Drosophila melanogaster: one gene and its partners. The protein of the gene in region 2 interacts with the protein of the main gene of each other region in a pairwise test. Each region holds a gene or a part of one and is shown on either strand. Other genes may lie near its edges.

Evidence for each region.
Region 1: the proteins of smo (region 2) and RpL40 interact in binary tests that used the Drosophila melanogaster proteins (3 or more experiments, as listed by UniProt).
Region 3: the proteins of smo (region 2) and fu interact in a two-hybrid assay, tested with the Drosophila melanogaster proteins (2 studies listed by BioGRID, with this or other methods).

The regions. Positions count from the first base shown.
Region 1 is NT_033779.5:4,224,868-4,230,183, reverse strand, and holds RpL40 (ribosomal protein L40), read right to left. Parts: upstream 2,486-5,316; 5' UTR 2,377-2,485; intron 2,173-2,376; 5' UTR 2,160-2,172; coding exon 1,773-2,159; 3' UTR 1,623-1,772; downstream 1-1,622. Other genes in the region: CG3702 (uncharacterized protein), read left to right, coding at 3,296-3,337, 3,417-5,300.
Region 2 is NT_033779.5:274,836-283,783, forward strand, and holds smo (smoothened), read left to right. Parts: upstream 1-2,746; 5' UTR 2,747-2,990; coding exon 2,991-3,028; exon of another isoform or gene 3,029-3,094; coding exon 3,095-3,488; intron 3,489-3,807; coding exon 3,808-4,289; intron 4,290-4,349; coding exon 4,350-4,970; intron 4,971-5,034; coding exon 5,035-5,205; intron 5,206-5,274; coding exon 5,275-6,679; 3' UTR 6,680-7,332; downstream 7,333-8,948. Other genes in the region: CG17078 (uncharacterized protein), read right to left, coding at 112-416, 484-1,662, 1,904-2,068, 2,124-2,307; CG11601 (uncharacterized protein), read right to left, coding at 7,337-7,670, 7,819-8,312. UniProt on the Drosophila melanogaster protein: Segment polarity protein required for correct patterning of every segment. G protein-coupled receptor which associates with the patched protein (ptc) to transduce the hedgehog (hh) signal through the activation of an inhibitory G-protein.
Region 3 is NC_004354.4:18,655,137-18,662,826, forward strand, and holds fu (fused), read left to right. Parts: upstream 1-2,618; 5' UTR 2,619-2,703; coding exon 2,704-2,814; intron 2,815-2,886; coding exon 2,887-4,256; intron 4,257-4,315; coding exon 4,316-4,890; intron 4,891-4,958; coding exon 4,959-5,320; 3' UTR 5,321-5,352; coding exon of another isoform or gene 5,353-5,532; 3' UTR 5,533-6,068; downstream 6,069-7,690. Other genes in the region: CG6659 (uncharacterized protein), read right to left, coding at 1-1,134, 1,188-1,509, 1,578-1,839, 1,962-2,007; CG6696 (uncharacterized protein), read right to left, coding at 5,353-5,532, 6,103-6,539, 6,593-6,766, 6,829-7,012. UniProt on the Drosophila melanogaster protein: Probable serine/threonine-protein kinase; maternally required for correct patterning in the posterior part of each embryonic metamere. May be involved in control of cell division during metamorphosis and ovarian development. May interact with costal-2.

The DNA of each region.
Region 1 (5,316 bases), 4.0 Mb from region 2:
AGCGGTGCTCATAACTCACCCAATCCCCGCCCGGCATATGGAAACGAGCAAGTCGCATGGGGAGACTCGGGAAAACGTTCAATTTTCAATGAGCACTTTTCGCTGCAAAGTAGATGGGTGGGTGGTGCTTGGATGGTGCGATGGGCGGCGCCAAGGCTGCTCCTCGCTGGATGAGGCAGTGCCTGCCCTGCAATATTAATGCTGGCCAGGAGCAACGCCCAGAGCGTTAAGAGTGTCAAGCCAAATGACTGACCAGCGGAGACTTCCCAGATGAGGACACTTGGGCCACCACTCGAATCGCACTCTTAATTATTCTGGTCACATCTGTTATGTAAACTGCGACCCATCCGGCCATAAAAGTCCTGCTCCCAAGAATGGCAAAGGCGGCGCCCAAAAGACAGAGACCCAAACTTGGACGGGCTGCAAAAATTAAAAACGAAAGCCACGCACTTGGTTGCTGAAACGGACCAGTGGAGGCTGGAACCTGTTTGGGCATTTTCAAGCCCGTGGCCTCCAAGGCTGAGGACCCGGGACCCATAAATAAGCAGCCGCTTTTCCTGCAGCTCCGAAAGGCAGAGCCTTAATTTTTAAAATACCCGACCCTCGGCTGGCCCATATAACACCTTTGTATATTGGACGAGAACGTGGCCACAGTGGTCTATTGATAATTCGGAACTGAATGGATATAGTTATTATAGTAAATCTTATATCTTATTCAATTCTTTAAAAAAAATGTGTCATACACTTTTTTTACTTATATGGTATAAAACTATACTATAAGCAACTATAAGCAAGTATTTCTAGGTACCACTGTACTATCAACTATCATAGGTTTTTTTCGAGCCACTGCAATCCTCACCTCTGGGCAGCTCAGGTTGCTTTTCCACTTACCTTTTGCTGGGACTTTCCTGCGGGCGACGGCCCTTAACTTTTTTTCATTGTGCTTGATCCGCAATTTCATCAGTCGCGTCCCCTCCTCCAATCCAGCCACCCATTCTGCGCCTGGGAAATCTGCGCGGGTCACCCAAAAACGTATTTTTAATTAATGTTGACCGCAATTTGTGCCTGGTCCTCCGGCAGCAGCTGCTCTTCTCGGTTTCCCGCTTGTTATCATGTCCTGCCTATCAGGCAGGCCCTTTGGGTCGTCACCAGCCAGTTCTTGGGTTATTAAGATATTCATAATAAGAGCCTCCGCGGGGCCAACGACCAAGTGCTAGCATGGATTAGAGCGCCAACAACCAGTTTACCAGTTGGCCACGGAAGCCGTTGCGCGCCTTAGTCGGCGGTCAATGAAACCAATTAACTGTACTCGAAGTGGACTTGGCTTAGCTTGGCCAAGTAGGTCTGCTCGACCATCCGCGGCGTACTAGCCAGCCAGTCCCCTTGTTTCCCTTGGGCAGAAGAGTAGACCGCAAGGGTCTGGTATCGCTGGCAGATGGAATATCAATTACCTGCTGCTGTCGCCCGCTTCCTGGTGGCGAGACAGAACCAGAAACAGAGCAGAAAAACTAACTGAGATCTCGGAGAGGCCAACTAATTGCAGTATAAGAGCTTCCTAAAACCGCAGAAACTCGTTCTTCGGAGACCACAAACGAAAACAGATGACAGGAAAACAGAAACATACACGGTGTAAATAGGCTGTGCCTTGGCAGCAAATGCAATACATTTCGATTAGATGTGGTTTCACAAAATGTACATATATTTACTTAGATGGTTAACCATGGTTTTGTCGATAGAAAGACCAGCCTGGACCGTCGACGGATGATCATAGTCTACTTCAACTTCTTCTTGGGGCGCAGGTTGTTGGTGTGTCCGCACTTCTTCTTGCGGCAGTTGGTGGCACGAGGATGCAGACGGGCGTAGCACTTGCGGCAGATCATCTTGTCGCAGTTGTACTTCTGGGCCAGAATCCTGAGCGAGGGCTCAATGATACCACCACGCAGGCGGAGCACCAAGTGCAGGGTGGACTCCTTCTGAATGTTGTAGTCGGACAGAGTGCGGCCATCCTCCAGCTGCTTGCCGGCGAAGATCAGACGCTGCTGATCTGGGGGAATGCCCTCCTTATCCTGGATCTTAGCCTTGACATTCTCGATGGTGTCAGAAGGCTCCACCTCCAAGGTGATGGTCTTGCCGGTGAGGGTTTTCACGAAGATCTGCATAATGGCGGCGTCACTGAAAGCAATATAAAACATAAATCAGTACCAAATCGTACGATTTCTTAGCGAACTTGTGCGTCCCAAAGAGCGGGCAAAGATTGGAGGTTAGGTCCGACTTGCTGGCATGTTTCGTTCGACAGAAACAGCTCCACCGGTCGACAAGCACCAGTGTCCATCTTTTTCATATCACAAATACGTCACTAAACAACAATATGTTTACATTCTGCCACGTTATTGCGATTTTTCGTTTATTTTTAATATATTTAATGGAAACTCACCAGAGGAAACGTGCAACCAAATGCTATTCAAAAGAAAAAGGGAAAAGAGAGTGTGGCCGCCGCCGAGCACTGCAAATATACCAAAATACTATTTTTTAAATACCAAAACATTCTAAATGGAACTGTAAAAAATATTCAGACACTCAAATTAATTAATGCAAAATATCTTTACCATTTGAACCGAGACCAACTTTACAATATCAACATATAGTTTTTCGTGTTTTTTTATAGCCCAACGCTACCTCACTGATAGCTAAGCTAATTCAAAATTATATTATTATGGCATGAAAATGCTATTTGCATTGTATACAAATAAATTGAAATCAAAACTTGTATATAGAATTATATTTTAGATAAGGTTCAAATATTACATATTACGCATATTTTTTTTTATTGAAAAACCGCCTAATCGATTTAAATTATATTTTTAATGAATTTATGAAATATTTTTTCAGATATTAAACCTTTTGAATTTATACAAAAATATTCAAGTTGCTGTCCATTTTACTAAGAACAATAATTGAATACTAGGTTGTATAAGTATAAGTAAGTAAGTAAGTATAAGTAAGTAAGGGATATACATTTAAGCCAACGATATTCTAAAAATGTGTATTGCTAAATATGTCACATATAATAAATAAATTTGTATTTGACTTAGTGAAAAAAGTATGTCTTTATAGTGAGAACACCGTGCTTTTCCATTCTGCGTCAAATCGATAGATTCTGAAAAATACCCCTTTCGATATCGAAGTTCTAATGGCTCGATAGGTCCTCAACACTTACCTATCGATGACAGTAGCACAAGTTGTGCGGAAAACGGGAAACTAAGGGAAAAGCGTGGAAAACCCTTGAGAACAGAGCATGTCGAAAGCAGGCGAAGATCAGCCCGCAGCAGAGGGTGCGGTAAGTATCTGAGAAACTTAAACCTTTCTCAACCCCAATCACCTGACAATAGCGACCTGGTTCTCATCGTTTTTTCTAGGTGATTGCGGGCAATGGTAACGCTGAGCTGGCCCAAAATGAAGGCCAGAATGAGCAACAACAACCCCCGCCGAATCAGCCCACCCGCATGGAGTCCTTCTTTGCGATGACCAAGTCCCTCATCCTGCGTGCCCTGATCATCTACTTTGTGAGCTCCTTTTTCCGACGACCTGCGCCCGATGCCGCCAGTCAAGGCAAAAGTGTCGCTAATGCGGGTCCCAAGATCACGGCCTGGAATTACTTCGAGAACGGCACGGACTTTGACCTGCACGTGTGGTTGTCGGAGAATCCCGATGTGGTTAACTTCCAGCAAAAGGCGAATCTCCTCTGGCTACAGAAGGACCTCACCTATGGCGATTGGACGTCGGGCGTCAACGGAGATGGCATTTACACGCACAGTTTGAAGCTTAAGACCAGCCAGCATCTGATGAACAATGGCAGTGTGTACCTACATGCCTTTGTCACGCGTACCGGCATGAGTCCCGATCCCAAAGCCCCGAATTACGCCACCAAAATGGGCCACCAGCAACATCAGCTGAACAAGTTCAAGAAGTTGCGTGTGAACCGCAACTACAACTTGCTGGCCAGCGAGAAGGAGAAGTTGGAGCACGAGCTCAAGCATGCGAATCTCAAGGATACCATCGTGTCTCACTGGCATCCTAATCTCACGGTCAATCTCGTAGTGGACCAAACTAACTGGGCCGAGGGATCTGTGCCGCCGCCACTGGATGACTACGTAAAGTTCGTAGACGGCGGTAAGACCTATCTGCCCATCCTGTTCGTCAACGACTACTGGAATCTTCAGCGGGAGTATCAACCCATTAATGAGACCACTCCCGAACTGGAGCTGCACCTCACTTTCCAGCCGCTGGGCATGTTCAAGTGGCAGCTGTATGCCGCCAAACAGATGAAGAACAAGTGGGCTGGCAATATGCTCGGTGAGCTGATGGCCGCCAGCCAGCCGGAGGAGAGTGACGAGGATCAGGACTCGCTGAAGGAGACTCTGCTGGACACCAATATCTACCTGCTGGGCATCACAGTGGCCGTTTCCATACTGCATTCGGTGTTCGAACTGCTGGCCTTCAAGAACGACATTCAGTTCTGGAACAATCGCAAGTCGCTCGAAGGACTGTCTGTACGATCGGTGTTCTTCGGTGTCTTCCAGTCACTAATCATCCTGCTGTACGTGCTGGACAACGAGACCAACTTCATGATTCGCATCTCCTGTTTCGTGGGACTGGGAATCGAGGTGTGGAAGATTCACAAGGTCGTGGATATCAACTACGATCACGATCAAAAGATTCTGGGAGTGCTGCCGAGAATCAGTTTCCAGGACAAGGGCTCCTATTCGGAGAGCTCGACCAAAGACTATGACAAACTGGCCTTCAAGTACCTGGGCTGGGCATGCTTCCCGCTCCTGGTGGCCTACTTTGTCTACTCGTTGATCTACAACGAGCACAAGGGCTGGTACTCATTTGTGCTCAACATGCTGTACGGCTATCTGCTGACCTTTGGCTTCATCCTGATGACGCCGCAGCTATTCATCAACTACAAGCTAAAGTCGGTGGCCCACATGCCGTGGCGCATGATGACCTACAAGTTCCTCAACACCTTTATCGATGACATCTTTGCGTTTGTGATCAAAATGCCCACAATGTACCGGTTGGGTTGCTTCCGCGACGACATCATCTTCTTTGTGTTCCTCTACCAGCGCTGGCAGTATCGCGTCGATTTGAAGCGCGTGAATGAGTTCGGCTTCTCCGGGGAGATGGAGCAGCAGCATGCCGCCCAGAAGCTGGAGGGCAAGACAGCCAATGGAGCCATCGAAGGTCCCCAGGCTGCGCCAGCGATCAAAAAGACAGCTGCACAAAAGAAGCAGGATTAGAAGGAGTGCAGAGCTG
Region 2 (8,948 bases):
AATAAATAAACTAAACAGAGTTCGGCTCCTCCTCCGTTGGGAGGAGCAAGAGGAGATTGAAGTGGCGCTCGCTGCGCCATGGTTCCAGCCAAAAATCGTCCAAATGAAATCTCAGCCATGTACATTGGCAAGCTTGGCGATGAGGTGGTTAAACTTGCCGTTGGTGGTCACAGACTTTTTGGCCGATCGCACTTGTTCCGGCGAGTGCTGCAGAAAGTAAACGACGATAAATTCGAGTGTTTGATTGGCTTCCTTAGGGTACATCATGTTAAAGGTATAGTAGTAGCAGATTAACTGGGCCAGAATGTCCGGCAGGTCTTCGTCTTTGGCGGCGAATGTGGCCATTATCTGGCCTTCAATGTAGACCTTCGCCTCCATTTGCGATTCCACGCCGTCGGCCGTTGTTATGGGTGAATCTGTGGGAAGATAAATATTTTAAAAGTATTTAAACACTTTTAGTGATATTAATTTTTGTGTACTTACTGACTAGAGCCACCCAGGGGGCGTTTGTGGGATTCGTGCTTTGCAGTGATTCCTTGCTAAGGGAACTGTTCTCGAGGTGCTTGAAAATGTAGTCGGGATCCTCATTAAAATAGTACGCTATGCCACGCAGGAAATTAGCGTTGGTCTCGTCCAAAGAGCTGATCTTCTTGTTCTTTGAACTCTTAAAGAACCTGAAAAAGCGATCCTTTTCGGTAGCCAAGCGCTTCTCTAGAGCCCGGGGATCGATGGACATAAGCAGCTCAAAGTGCTGGTACAGCACAGCCTTGTCAAAAATATATGGCCAATTGTCCTTAATGGCCGTTATATCTGGGATCTTTTCGCTGTTATTAAAAAAGGAGCGCTGCAACGGAAAGCACTCTTTCATATATTCGATTATGACGGACTGTTCCAGTGGGGAACTGCCTCGGTAGCTGGAGATTAGTAACTCCTTTTTGTGCTCCAGATCCCTGTTAAGAGCCAGCGATTTTGCATCACCATTGGAAGCACCACCTCCGAATTTTCGTTTTTTATTAGGGATGTGGATCTCAAAGGTTCCCGAGCTGCCGCGTTTCTGGGGTTTGTTTAGGGCATTGTTACGGTTGATCATCTTGGATATGAGCGATTGCGGAGTGGTGGCTATAAACTGTCCCTCGCGGTCTTTTTCGAGTAAGGAGTCGGGGTACTTTTCAGCCGCCTGTTGGGCGACCTGCCGGAAAATCCGTATGGGAATGTGGGCGGATATTTCACGGAGAGCCTCCACCAAAACATTCGCAAGTGTATTCAACCGCTTGCCCAAACTCCCCTTTCCCTTTAGTAGTTTCATTATGTCCCCAGGCACCTTGCTCCAGGGTATCGAGAACTCCTTGAATAGAGCAGAACTCTTTGCACTTGATGGCGTTACGCTGGACAGTGACATGGTTTCGTCATTAGAGACCGTCGAATCGTTCGGGTTCGACACAATACTGTTGTTGGCATAGAAGCTGGGATCCACCGAGCTGCCGGCGCGTTCGGATCGGTTGAGGGGCGATGGCGGAGGAAGCACCACATACTCCTCCGACTCGGCGAGGAGCATCAACAGAATCTTCTCCTTGGCAGCGAACAAGAGCACGTCGTCCTCGCAGATCTCGCAGCCGTTGCTCTCCAGGACAATTGTGTTGCCGCACAGGCCGTATTTGTGAGCTACCGAATACAAATATATTATTGATATAAATTAAATAAAATATGTACAATTATTTAATTTCTATCCTAGATAAATATATCACCCATTGATCAAATTTATATTTTTAAATGCAGAAATGCTCTAAGCTTAAACCCAATAGATTCTTATTAAAGACTGTCTACTGGTTAATAACTTCCAACTGGGCAACGTTCATTCGGAATACTGGATGAATAGATACCCAATTCGTCGGACGTTCCTTACCTTTGTCGATTACATCCTTTCGAGTGGGCAACGACATGAAGGTCTTCTTGATCTTGCGATCGGCGCTGCATATGGTAATCAATACTTTGTCAGCCAGCTCGGTCTTCGGCTTGCCCTCGTCGTCGTCCTTCTGGCTAGCATCAGTGGAATGTGTCGGCTCTACGGCTAAAAGGTAAACGTTAACCAGGAAACTAGACTAGCTTCGAGCAAGTTTGCTAACCGGGGGCTTTCTCACCGCAGCTCTCTGGCTTTTTCGCTCCTCCTGTTTGTACACCATTTTCGATTGTTGTTGCCTTTGCGAGTGCGACCGGCGCTTGGTTTGCATTTTGATTCGGACTGATCGGCGCCTGCTGGGTGCTATGATCGCCGCCGGAACTGGCGGGCGGTGCGGGGGCAACGTCCATGGCTTCTATTTGCGTTTGCGCGACTCCAACCAAGCCCTGTTATCCGTGTTTTTGGACCGTGCCGTGAAATAATATTGCAGAATAGGGATGTAAAAACTACATCGATGCTTGGTGCGCTACTATCGCGGTGTTATCGATACTCCGCACCCAGTGTGACCGTCGAGCGCATGGCATAAATAAATAAGCCAGCGGCCAGCATTGCCATATAGTCAAAATGTTGCGGGGAACACCTTTTTCGTTTGCTGATGCATTTCTACATATGATCATATTTCTTATTTTATGTTGATGTTATCTTATGTTACGATCGAACAAAATAAATCCGATTTGTTTGCATATCATTCGACTTGTTGCAGCTATGACCGATAATAACCGATGCCGACCGATAACATGCAAATCTCGCTGACCGATAACATGGGTATATTTAAACTGGCCCTGAATGGTCGCACATTTGTTGCTTCAGCTTCACGTTGAGTCGCGTTTATTTTTGTTTTCCTCCTTGGTTCTTGTTTTTTTTTTCTCTTTTTTAAAAACACTGCAATCCTTCAAAGGGAACAATTAAACCAGGATATCCCGAGTCCAACGAAAGCGCCTTCACGATGCACTGACGAACCGCTGAGCAAGAAACGGGCATTCAGCCCATTAAAATTCACACAAGGCAGCTATTTAATGATTTTTATAAGCGGATGCAGTACTTAAACTTTCCGCGCATGCCAAACATTATGTGAGTGACTCGCCTCTGGCAAATGGTGTGGGCAATTAAAATAACTTGGTTATTTACAAACCGCAGGATGTTCCTGGAGGTTGCGATCTTATGCCTGTGGGTGGTCGCAGACGCATCGGCCAGTTCGGCCAAGTTCGGCAGCACAACGCCCGCAAGTGCGCAGCAGTCGGATGTGGAACTGGAGCCCATCAATGGGACTCTCAATTACCGACTGTACGCCAAGAAGGGCAGGGACGACAAACCCTGGTTTGATGGCCTAGACAGCAGGCACATCCAGTGTGTCCGACGTGCCCGTTGCTACCCCACCTCGAACGCAACCAACACCTGTTTCGGCTCAAAATTGCCCTATGAGCTGAGCAGCCTAGATCTCACCGACTTCCACACCGAAAAGGAGCTGAACGATAAGCTGAACGACTACTATGCCCTGAAGCACGTGCCCAAATGTTGGGCAGCTATACAGGTGAGGAATCTTAATAACATCTAATGTACCTAATGATTTCAAAAGGTGGGGCCGAGTCTGTATGAAAATACAGATTGTCGCATTATTTTCTGATAAGGAGGTGCATTAGAAACAAGTTAAGCGCACAACTGTGATTACTTAATTACGCTTTGTGTTCAAGCAGTGAAAGTAATATGTGAATTGCTTTATCTTGGGAAGATTCAGATATATATACATATTCAGTTGTGGCTCAAGGTTTTCTGTAGATATTATAGTATTTCAAATCCATTTCTTCAATATTCCGGATTAGCTCAACACACCCATTTTTACATGTTTATAGCCCTTTTTGTGCGCCGTCTTTAAGCCGAAGTGTGAAAAAATCAACGGCGAGGACATGGTCTACCTGCCATCTTACGAGATGTGCCGAATTACCATGGAACCCTGTCGCATTTTGTACAACACGACGTTTTTCCCAAAATTCCTTCGCTGCAACGAAACACTCTTTCCGACGAAATGCACAAACGGAGCACGAGGAATGAAATTCAACGGAACTGGCCAGTGTTTAAGTCCTTTGGTTCCGACAGATACGTCAGCCAGCTATTATCCTGGCATCGAGGGCTGCGGCGTGCGATGCAAGGATCCACTCTATACCGATGATGAGCATCGGCAGATCCACAAACTGATCGGATGGGCTGGCAGCATATGTCTTCTGTCTAACCTTTTCGTGGTGTCCACCTTCTTCATCGACTGGAAGAATGCCAACAAGTATCCGGCAGTAATTGTGTTCTACATAAATCTTTGCTTTCTAATTGCTTGCGTCGGGTAAGTTTTGAGCACTATTTTGCATTTGTATTCTTAATCAACCACGTATTTACTATGCAGCTGGTTGCTTCAGTTTACTTCTGGCTCGCGAGAGGACATAGTATGTCGTAAGGATGGAACACTTCGCCACTCAGAGCCTACAGCCGGTGAAAATCTTTCTTGCATAGTGATCTTTGTGCTGGTCTATTATTTTCTCACCGCTGGAATGGTTTGGTTTGTGTTCCTCACCTACGCCTGGCATTGGAGGGCCATGGGCCACGTCCAAGATCGGATAGATAAGAAAGGTTCCTACTTTCACCTCGTGGCGTGGTCACTACCCCTTGTGCTTACCATTACCACGATGGCTTTCAGTGAGGTGGATGGAAATAGTATTGTGGGCATCTGCTTCGTAGGCTATATCAATCATTCTATGAGGGCAGGACTACTTCTTGGTCCGCTCTGCGGGGTCATCCTCATTGGTGGATACTTCATCACCCGCGGCATGGTGATGCTTTTTGGACTGAAACACTTCGCTAATGACATTAAATCAACTTCGGCGAGCAACAAAATCCATTTGATCATCATGCGCATGGGAGTCTGTGCTCTGCTCACTTTAGTTTTCATACTAGTGGCCATTGCGTGCCACGTTACGGAGTTTAGGCATGCAGACGAATGGGCCCAGAGCTTCAGACAGTTTATAATGTAAGTGTAAATACTCGTTTATAACTTTTTCCATACGCCTCAACTAGATAATTCTTTTGTTTAGCTGCAAAATTTCTTCAGTTTTTGAAGAAAAGAGTTCCTGTCGAATTGAAAACCGACCTAGTGTTGGCGTTCTTCAATTGCATTTGCTGTGTCTATTTAGCTCTGGAATCGTAATGTCCACCTGGTGCTGGACACCTTCTTCAATTGAGACTTGGAAGCGTTATATAAGGAAGTATGTTTTACCATCCTACCAAAAGTTGCATTAAAGTTATCTGTACTATCGATTTTATAACCTTTGCAGAAAGTGTGGCAAAGAGGTGGTCGAAGAAGTGAAAATGCCGAAGCACAAGGTCATTGCCCAGACATGGGCCAAGCGCAAGGATTTCGAGGACAAGGGCAGGCTCTCCATAACGCTCTACAACACCCACACAGATCCCGTGGGGCTCAACTTCGATGTGAACGATCTGAACTCTTCTGAGACGAATGACATCTCATCAACTTGGGCTGCATACCTCCCGCAGTGCGTAAAACGTCGCATGGCTTTGACGGGAGCAGCGACAGGTAACTCGTCAAGCCATGGACCGCGAAAAAATTCATTGGATTCCGAGATAAGTGTGAGTGTTCGACATGTTTCCGTTGAATCCCGCAGAAATTCGGTGGACTCGCAGGTATCAGTGAAAATAGCTGAAATGAAGACCAAAGTGGCGTCCAGATCAAGGGGAAAACACGGAGGCTCTTCCAGCAACAGAAGAACCCAAAGGAGAAGGGATTATATAGCAGCTGCCACTGGAAAAAGCAGTAGGAGAAGGGAAAGCAGTACTTCAGTGGAGTCGCAGGTCATCGCGCTCAAGAAAACGACCTATCCCAATGCTAGTCACAAAGTGGGCGTGTTTGCTCATCACAGCTCCAAGAAACAACACAATTACACCAGCTCCATGAAGCGAAGGACTGCTAATGCCGGATTGGATCCCTCTATTCTTAATGAATTCCTGCAGAAAAATGGCGATTTTATATTCCCATTCCTCCAAAATCAAGATATGAGCTCTAGTTCGGAGGAGGATAATTCCAGAGCATCCCAAAAGATTCAGGATCTTAACGTGGTTGTAAAGCAGCAGGAAATAAGTGAGGATGATCACGACGGAATAAAGATTGAAGAACTGCCAAATAGCAAACAGGTGGCATTGGAGAACTTTCTTAAAAACATAAAAAAATCTAATGAATCCAATTCTAACCGACATTCCCGAAATTCCGCAAGAAGTCAGTCAAAAAAGTCCCAAAAGAGACATCTCAAGAACCCTGCTGCTGATCTAGATTTCAGGAAGGACTGTGTAAAGTATCGGTCTAATGACTCACTTAGCTGCTCCTCTGAAGAGCTGGATGTGGCTTTGGACGTAGGAAGCCTTCTTAACAGCTCTTTTTCTGGAATATCCATGGGCAAACCACATAGTAGAAACAGCAAAACCAGCTGCGATGTGGGCATACAGGCTAATCCTTTCGAGCTAGTTCCCAGTTACGGAGAAGACGAACTGCAGCAGGCCATGCGACTCCTAAACGCAGCCAGCAGACAAAGAACTGAAGCAGCCAATGAGGATTTCGGAGGAACGGAGCTGCAGGGCTTGTTGGGTCATTCCCATCGGCATCAAAGGGAGCCCACGTTTATGAGCGAGTCGGACAAACTCAAAATGTTATTGCTGCCTTCAAAATAGCAAGACTAAATAAGCAATTGATGCATTTACTTAAGGTTCAAAAACTCTTACAATATTGTAGTTTTTGTTCTAAGAAATCAAATTGTTAGCGCTGAAAATAATCGTACAATCTTATCTATTTTACGAAATCGTAATATTGTTATGTTCACTGTTCAACGATTTATAAGAATATATCGCTTCACTAGAATTGGAAACCCAAATGATATTTAAAACAAACAAATACGAAATTGTAGTACACAAGCCAGAGCAGTTTACATGCGATGAACATTTAGATTCTTCTTAATCGATTACTGGAACAGACTGAGCGAAACTAGAACTACGAATTACGAATACTCATAGTCATTAGGCTGCAACTTTATTTTACAGATTCATCACCCCATCTAGCTTGTAAGCATTCGAATCTCTGTGTACGTTTGTGAATGACTGTTTCCTTAATCCTGGTACTCACGCCAAAGTAAATGCCAAAGAGGATAATAATTTATTTTCATTATTTTTCTTTGCCGTGGGTACAGGACTTTAGATTGTAGATTATAGATTTAAGTACGATATAAATAAGCCTCTTGGGCACACAAATCGTACCTCAGAAAGTGCCTTCAAGTTTACAAAATTATACATAATAATTTGTGTAACTAATAAACGATTTTAAATCCTCGAGTCCTAGCCTTGCTTTAATTTCTGTTGATTTAGGAGCTTAAACTCCGGACCCCAAACGACGTTGTTGGCGAACTCCCCGAGCAGATAGCAAACCAGGTTGAACCCCACAAGTAGTGCCAAGAACACGTAGCGCAGGTATGCGGGCAGCACTTCCAGAATGGGATACACCCACTCGCCACTGAAGTAGCGAACAATGTGCAGCCAGATGATGTAAAGCAGGATGAAGGAGACGTTGCCCGTGATGCCTGCCAATCGACTCGGATAGCGGCGGAAGCAGGTAAACAGGTCCATAATGGCCAAAAGGGCCACATTCGTGTGTACCACGTGATTCAACCAGCTGCAAATATTGAGAAACACAGGTAAATCAAAACTCGCCTCGCCTGATGAACAGAAAGTTTAGACAGGCTCGAAACAAAAGAGACTCCAGCAGACTAACATTGTGCATTGTACGCAAGTTAAACCGGCGGAAAAACATAAACACTTGCCTGGGGAAAATCGCATCCAGCGCTGAGGGAAAGATGAGCTCACGGTCCCACACGTAGATGACCCAAAACGAGAGGCAGACATTGTGGGCGACAGGAAAGGCAAAGGCGGCGAACACATAGTCCCTCACCGATCGCAACATGGATTTTGAATCCCCGGAGACATTGTTATCGCCGAAGAGATCGTTCAGCAGAGCCAATGAGTGGTAGATGGCCTGTAGAATGACGTCCAAGAAGGTAAGGTACTTGAACTTGCCGCCCCACCGCGCCTTCAGTTCATCCTCGTCTAGCAAATCCGTGGGCCAATGCACCCGGAAGTAGTGAAAGTATATCCCATACGAAAACTGCGCTGCCGCCAGGAGATGGACCAGGAATCTCAGGTATTTGAAGGCACCGCTCGTATAGGCATCGTTGCAAGTGTTCAACTGGGCTTTAGTGGCCTCGACAGCTTCCTTGGCGGCGTTGAACTCGCGCACCTGCTTCTTGCTCTTGCCCATTTCCTCCAGAAAAGGTGCAAAGGGCACCGCACGCTGAGCAAAACAAAACAAATAAAGCTAGCCAACAGCTGATTAGGGCGCAACACACGTCGAGTTTCATTCCAGCAAGGAGGCGTTTTTAAGCTAGAACTAGCTTTTTAAAGCCAAATCGATATGATAGCGCCACTTGACGTTTCTCTGATCTTGAAAAGCAGTTTATTCCAAGCTTCCCACCTTAAAACAGTTTTCGCAGCTGATGAAGAGTTTAATCGCTTTATTATGGTACTAGAATTGAATAACAGTGGTATTCAAAGATGGCGTTGAATCAGTGTGCTTGATATGAGAAGTTTAATCGAGAAGGCATTTTTGTATTTTGGTTAGTCTAGTAAACTTATCGAAAGACGCGCGCGCTCAATGGAAACTACGGCTATAATTTCAGTTACAATGTATGCGTAATAAAAATATAATGAATATCATTAGCAAACGGGTTTCCATATTATGATTAAAGACTCCGAATTCAATATTACTGGAAAATATATTATCGAGTTGATGTTTCAAGTTTCGTTTATTATTTCTCACATATTTTGTACGCCTTCTTCAGTTAACTTTGCAGTACGATTTTACATACTTATGAAAAATTTCTTTGGCTGAGAAGAT
Region 3 (7,690 bases), on a different chromosome or scaffold from region 2:
CTCCTCTTCATTGTCCGCGGACCTGGACGGCGGCGTTTCAGTGGGATCTGCTGCAGACTCGGTCTCCGTTTCGCCACTACCTGGCTCCTGATTCTTCTTCTTCGATTCCGATTCTGCTTCCGGATCCTTATCCTCCTCCTCAGTCGGCGTGCTGGCCCCGTCGGTGGCCGCTTCTTTGGTTTCCTGCGCCCGCTCCTTGCGCTGCTTGACGCTGTTGCGGTTAATTTGCGCTCGCAGCCGCTTGATATCCTGCATAAAGTCGTCGCGGGCGGGCGGCTGCTCCTTACGCAGGCTGGCCTGTGCGCGCTTGTAGCGCTCGTAGTCGTAGTCGCAGCTTTTGAGCAGGCGGAAGCACTTATACAGCTGTTTCTCCGTCTCCTTGCTAGACATGTCGCTCATGGAAACGAAGTGCTCCTCTATGAAGTCTTCCAGCACGTATTTGCGCGCTCTCTCGCGCTGCTCTTCGGTGAGGGCACTTACTGGGGCGCCGCTCTTGCGCCAGCGCCGGAAGAACATGGCCAGCATGACCACGCCGTACATGCAGTACGGCTTAACAATCATCGTCTTGACCAGCTGCCACAATTCTGACCAGGCGACGCGCGCGTACTGCGGATTGCAGGCGGAAAGGTGGGCGACAAAGCCGACATTGACCTGCAGAGCCCAGTGGGCACATATGTCGAAGAAGTGCTGCTGGTCGCCTTCCGTCACACTGACCACGCCAGCCCGATTGAAGAGCTCTATCAGCGTGGTCTGCACGCTGCTGGCGAGCAGCAGTGTGAGCATGAGGAACTTCAACGAGAATAAGTCGCCGTTCAGCAGATCCTGCGCGTGTCCCAGTCGCCGGCTGCGCACGTGACGCAACTGTCGCACCATTGTAATCAAAAATAGGAACAGCGAGATGCTCAGCTGCCAGGTGAGAAGCAGCTGGCTGTTGCCGTGCGACATTACAAAGGCGAGAGCGTGGCCCAGCAGGTGCGACAGCGAGTAGTCCAGCACGAAGGCGTTGACCAGAGCCGTGGGCAGCGCGCTCGCGTTCCAGGACGTCATCATGATCAGGATCTGGGTGGTGAAGATGAAGGTGGAGAACTGCCAGGAGAGTAGGGCGCAGGCGGTGAAAAGCGACATGGCGAAGATCTTCGAAGGGCAAAGATGTTACTGAGCTTAATGCAATAAAGCACACCTATTACCATGAACATGCGAGATGTGTGCCGCTGTCGGTGTATGATCCTTCCGATGCAGATACACAGATAAAACATCTGCAGGAAAATGAACGGAAAGGCGAAGTTCTCCCGCGCCAGCGGCCGCTCATAGATCTTGGCCACGAAGCTGTGGAACATCAGGTACGAGATTACGCCGTATATGCCACCGAAAATGTTCTCGCTGAGCAGCGTTCCGTACAGGTAGAGTACCAGCAGGGTTACCCCGCCCATCAGCCACACGAACTCCAGATAGAACTGCATCGGTTGCACCATTGGATTGAAGCCGGAGCGCACTACGTGAAAGAAGTACCTTTGGGGAGCGAAAGTGCATCTGCATTAGTGGACTTTTTGGGCATCACTCCTCTGGCAGTCACTTACGCCGTGACCAGCTCCGGCAGCACGTAGAATCGCTGCAGCACATTGACACTGTGCGGATACTCGATGTCCGTGACGTTCTTCAGCTGCTCGTAGCCGTGCCAAAAGTCCGGCCCTTCGGCCAGCTGCTTGTAGAAGGCATAGTACAGGGCATCCTCGCGCCGCAGAAGCGCCTCCCGCTCCAGCTGATTGAGCTGCTGGATGTTGGTGCGCGTCTCGAAGATCACGCGCACATGCTGCACGTATAGGAAGAAGAAGCCGCAGCCTGGGATGCGGATTGGAATTGGGAGTGTGGTCAATGGCAGTGGGAATCCCCAACTCAATTAGACTGCCGCCTGGAAGCGGAAGAGGCGTGGCAGAAGTGTCTGCCGGTTGGCGGAAACTCACCGATCAGCGCGTGCGACAGGATCACGTACAGGTTGGGCTCGCGCATCGTGCTGCGATTGTGGGTGTCGTCTCACTGGGTGGCTGTGTTCAAATTGGCAATCATTATTTATTTCACAACGATTATTCCTGGCTCCGCACAATAAAAACCAGCCAGCAATCAGCTGTTCTTCGGCCGTGCTTGTCTAGGGTGACCGTACCGAGTTGCTGTCAAAAGGGTCATTTGTGTTGGTTTGGTCACACTGAATTTTAGGTACATTACGATATATAGGTACATACCTATAATTAGTTATATTATCTACTGCACTTTTGGAATTTTTAATTATTTATATTGCATATCATTTATTGCACTTATTAAGTAAAAATTTGTACATTAAGAAATATATACATATAAATATTTATAATATATAATAATATATAAGTTAAAGTTCGTTCCAACTTTTATCACTTAATAAATGTTTATTCGCAGATAATACTAATACCTACTGCCACAGATAAAAGCGCAAACTAGTCTTGTATTTGTCTTGGATTGTATCATGATCTGGTCTATATAGATTTTTAGGTACAATTGCTGTCCAGCAAAAGCGTCATTTATCAGAAAAGGAACCCTGTATGAGCAATCTAGTATTTTCATATACCTACGTACCGAAGCCGAGTTCCCACCTCGGAGTCAACCTGCTACGGTCATACCGCACGCACTTCAGTGGTAATCACATCCCAATCCGCAGCAAAACAAAGAATAACCATGAACCGCTACGCGGTAAGCTCGATGGTGGGGCAAGGATCCTTCGGGTGCGTATACAAGGCGACACGCAAGGACGACAGCAAGGTGGTGGCCATCAAAGTGATCTCCAAGGTGAGTGGGGCGGGCCAGGTGATAAAGCAACAAGTCCATACAACTAGTTCACACCATATTCATGTTCTGCAGCGCGGAAGAGCCACGAAAGAGCTGAAGAATTTGCGCAGGGAGTGCGACATTCAGGCCCGGCTGAAGCATCCGCACGTCATCGAGATGATCGAGTCCTTCGAGTCGAAGACGGACCTTTTCGTGGTCACTGAGTTCGCGCTGATGGACCTGCACCGCTACCTGTCCTACAATGGAGCCATGGGCGAGGAGCCGGCACGTCGGGTGACCGGGCATCTGGTGTCCGCTCTGTACTACCTGCATTCAAACCGCATCCTCCACCGGGATCTCAAACCGCAAAACGTGCTGCTCGACAAGAACATGCACGCGAAACTCTGCGACTTTGGACTGGCCCGCAACATGACCCTGGGTACCCACGTGCTCACCTCGATCAAGGGAACGCCCCTCTACATGGCCCCGGAGCTGCTGGCGGAGCAGCCGTACGACCATCATGCGGACATGTGGTCACTGGGCTGCATAGCCTACGAAAGCATGGCCGGTCAGCCGCCCTTCTGTGCCAGCTCCATCCTGCATCTGGTGAAGATGATCAAGCACGAGGACGTCAAGTGGCCGAGCACGCTGACTAGCGAGTGCCGCTCCTTCCTACAGGGCCTGCTTGAGAAGGACCCCGGTCTGCGCATATCCTGGACGCAGCTGTTGTGTCACCCCTTCGTTGAGGGACGCATCTTTATCGCAGAAACGCAGGCGGAGGCGGCCAAGGAATCGCCTTTCACAAATCCCGAAGCCAAGGTTAAGTCGTCAAAACAGTCCGATCCGGAGGTAGGCGATCTGGACGAGGCCCTGGCCGCTTTGGACTTTGGCGAGTCGCGACAGGAAAACTTGACCACCTCCCGCGACAGCATAAACGCCATTGCTCCCAGCGATGTTGAGCATCTTGAGACCGATGTGGAGGACAATATGCAACGTGTGGTCGTTCCCTTCGCGGACTTGTCCTACAGGGATCTGTCTGGTGTTCGGGCAATGCCGATGGTACACCAGCCGGTGATCAACTCGCACACTTGCTTCGTCAGTGGCAACTCCAATATGATCCTCAATCATATGAACGACAACTTCGACTTTCAGGCTTCCTTGCGGGGCGGAGGCGTGGCCGCTAAGCCAATAGTCGCTCCAACCGTACGCCAGTCGCGCAGCAAGGATCTAGAGAAGCGTAAGCTTAGTCAGAATCTGGATAACTTCTCTGTTCGCTTGGGTCACAGCGTCGACCATGAGGCGCAACGCAAGGCCACGGAGATTGCTACACAGGAAAAGCATAACCAGGAAAACAAGCCTCCCGCTGAAGCAATTTCCTACGCAAATTCTCAGCCCCCGCAGCAACAGCCACAACAACTTAAACACTCAATGCATTCCACCAATGAGGAAAAGCTGAGCAGCGAGTAAGTGGCCACTGCGCCTCATAGAATTTCTTTTACTAACTTTCCCCTTTCAATAACAGCAACACTCCGCCGTGCCTGCTCCCGGGGTGGGATAGCTGCGATGAATCCCAAAGTCCGCCCATCGAGAACGATGAGTGGCTAGCCTTCTTGAACAGATCGGTGCAGGAGCTGCTTGACGGCGAACTGGACTCATTGAAACAGCACAACCTGGTGAGCATTATTGTGGCACCGCTGCGCAACTCCAAGGCCATTCCACGGGTACTCAAGAGTGTGGCCCAGTTGCTGTCGTTGCCCTTTGTGCTGGTGGATCCTGTTTTGATTGTTGACCTCGAGCTCATCCGCAACGTGTACGTGGACGTAAAACTGGTGCCCAATCTCATGTACGCCTGCAAGCTGCTCCTGTCGCACAAACAACTCTCGGACTCGGCTGCCTCCGCCCCACTCACCACGGGTTCGCTCAGTCGAACGTTGCGTAGCATTCCGGAGCTAACTGTCGAGGAGCTGGAGACGGCTTGCAGTCTGTACGAACTGGTCTGCCACTTGGTACACCTGCAGCAGCAGTTCCTAACGCAGTTCTGCGATGCGGTTGCCATTCTGGCAGCAAGCGATCTGTTCCTCAACTTCCTCACGCACGGTAAGATTACCCTTAGATGGTATGAGCTGACTCCTGTAAACTGTTAGCCCGTTCCCGTTCTCCCGTAGACTTCAGGCAATCGGATTCAGACGCCGCCTCTGTTCGCCTGGCTGGGTGCATGTTGGCCCTGATGGGCTGTGTGCTGCGCGAGCTGCCCGAAAACGCGGAGCTTGTAGAACGGATTGTCTTTAATCCGCGGCTAAACTTCGTCTCGCTCCTGCAGAGCCGACACCACCTGTTGCGGCAACGTTCCTGTCAGCTGCTGCGCCTGCTGGCCCGCTTCAGCCTGCGCGGCGTGCAGCGCATATGGAATGGAGAGCTGCGATTTGCGCTGCAACAACTCTCTGAGCACCACTCGTACCCGGCACTCCGTGGGGAGGCCGCCCAGACCCTCGACGAGATCAGTCACTTCACTTTTTTCGTCACCTAGCCGGCACTTTCTTTTATTGGCCTCAGGCGTTTTTATCCGAGCAGATCCTGAATGTTGCCCTGGAAGTAGTCGAGCAGTTCGTCGATGTAGTTCCCGAAGCGGTCGAAGTTGAGCAGGTAGTCCTCGCTGCAGTCCTGTTCGTACATCTCGTTTAGCTTGGACACATCCTTGTCGGAGAGGCCGCGTCTCTGGCCCAGCGAGGCGTACGGATCCTGGAAGCAAAGGACAGGAGTCAGAGAGTGTAGACGATGCAAGCTCCCCCAAGTCATTACAAACATCTCATCGCTTCAACTAAAACTGCTAAGGTGTAGTCAACCATTCAGCTAAAGAATTCTCATTTGATATAGTTCCAACTGGACAAGGAAGCAAAATGCTTCGTCTATTCCTAGCATAGTTGCACGTCATTGGACCATGTGTTAATATAGGAATTCCTAATCTGAATATGATCAAATCACTATCACTATCGAATTTAAATATTTTATGAGCCACGGTTTTTGGCATTCCTAATGGAATCTAAGTTAATTGATAGGTGTTTTTGAATGCACATATTCAAGTGTGGTTTGTGCAAAATAGATTGATAGCATTATAGTTTGTATATCGAAATATAACATTTAGGTGTAGTAATTGTTAAGATAAGCGAATTTACTGTATGTCCATACAATAGTCCATTAATTCGCAGTATTACTATTGAATGTTAAACTGAACTCCTTTACAGTGTAAGCGATTTAAAATAATACTCAATTACATGAATAACTGGTAACCATTTGGGTTGGCCTACTCACCAATGGCTCTATGGTGGCTTTCCCGTTCTTGCTGAAGGCCCGCGAGCTGTAGTGCATGACGCTCTGGTAGTCGTACTCCACCCCGAAGTTGGTGATGTGGGTGCGGGCGTACTTGTTGAAGTTGTGCGCGTGCCCGTCGAGGATGTTCTCCCAGTTGATCTTGACGTACTCATCCCGCTCCGTGGCGCTCTGCTGGTGGTAGAAGCCGAGCGCGTGCAGCAGCTCGTGCACCACCACGCCGTGTGTGACGCACTTGGGTGTGTTCAGGTTGAGCACCTGGCCACCCGAACGCCGGCCGACGCTCGACCAGCAGCCGGAGTAGTTGCCCTTGATGAGCAGCCAGTGCTTGTCGCCCTGTTCGTACGGCCGGAAACGTATGCAGGTGCGGTCGTGGTACTCCTTGAAGGCCTTCAGTATGACCATGGTCTGGTTGGCGTCTGTTTGGAAAGGGTGTTTTACTACTTTGGACTGCTTGCAGGCCTTAACTCACTGAAGTCTTGCGGGTCTATGTAGAAGGGCACGGCGGCCTCTGGCCAGGTGAGCCGCTCGTTCAGCAGCCCGTTCCTCAGCAGCTCGCGGTGCAGCATGATGTCGCCCTCGAAGAGGCCGCAATGCTCCCATATGTTCGTATCGCTGTCCTCCGTCCAGAAGTTGAAGGCAGGACCTGCAAGTGCCAATGGTTGAGTGCATCGACTACTAGCGTCTGATATGATGTTGGGTACCTACTGTTGTGCCGGCGCAGCATCTGCATATTGGCGCCCCACCTGGCAGCGGGCGGCACCGCGGGTCGTGCGCGAAGAAGCGCCTTTCGCGTGGCCGGGGTACTCGCCTCCAAGGTGGCGGACAGGGCCAAGGCCAGGGCAGACCAAAAACAAATCAGACCGGGAACGATGAGCGCACTTCTCGGCATTGTTGGGGTAAAAGAAACGCCGGCCATGTTGCGTCGACGCTTTTATATGGCACTGCGTAAAGGGGCGGGGCAATGACAACGGCAATGGCAGTTCCAATTGAAAGTACGAGTGAGTATTGAGTGACTGACTGACTGGGCGACTGAATGGCGGACGCCCACGCCGCTGGATTTCGGATTTATGCATAACTTAACTGACTTATTGGCTCTCTCTTTCGGCGCGCATTCAAATTCCCCCGCCTCGACTTTTACGGCTTTTGGTTCCAAATTTAACTGGGATATTGGGTTATCAGTGGCAACGGCGTGCGCATATGAAAATAGCACACTCTCTTTCCCAGTACCAGCGCCAGTGACAGTGCCAGTTCCAGTGCCAGTGCCAGTGCCAGTACCATTACCCAGTGGCGGTGCCTTCCTGTCTTCCTATCTCGAATCGATCTTCATTTCAATCTCGATCTCACGTCCGCACAGAAAGAGAGAAAAAGCGGCAGAGACACCATGGAAAGCCGGGAGGAGTTCTTTGACCCCCATCGATTGATGATGTTGATGGCCAATGACAGTTGGCATCTGTCGGTGGCAAAAGTGAACGCTGTCAGGTATCTGGTCATCTTCTCCCTTTCTCTGACCCAGACCCGGATGGCTTGGCTTATCCGTCAGTTGAGTGGGTCACTGCAGTGGCAGTGG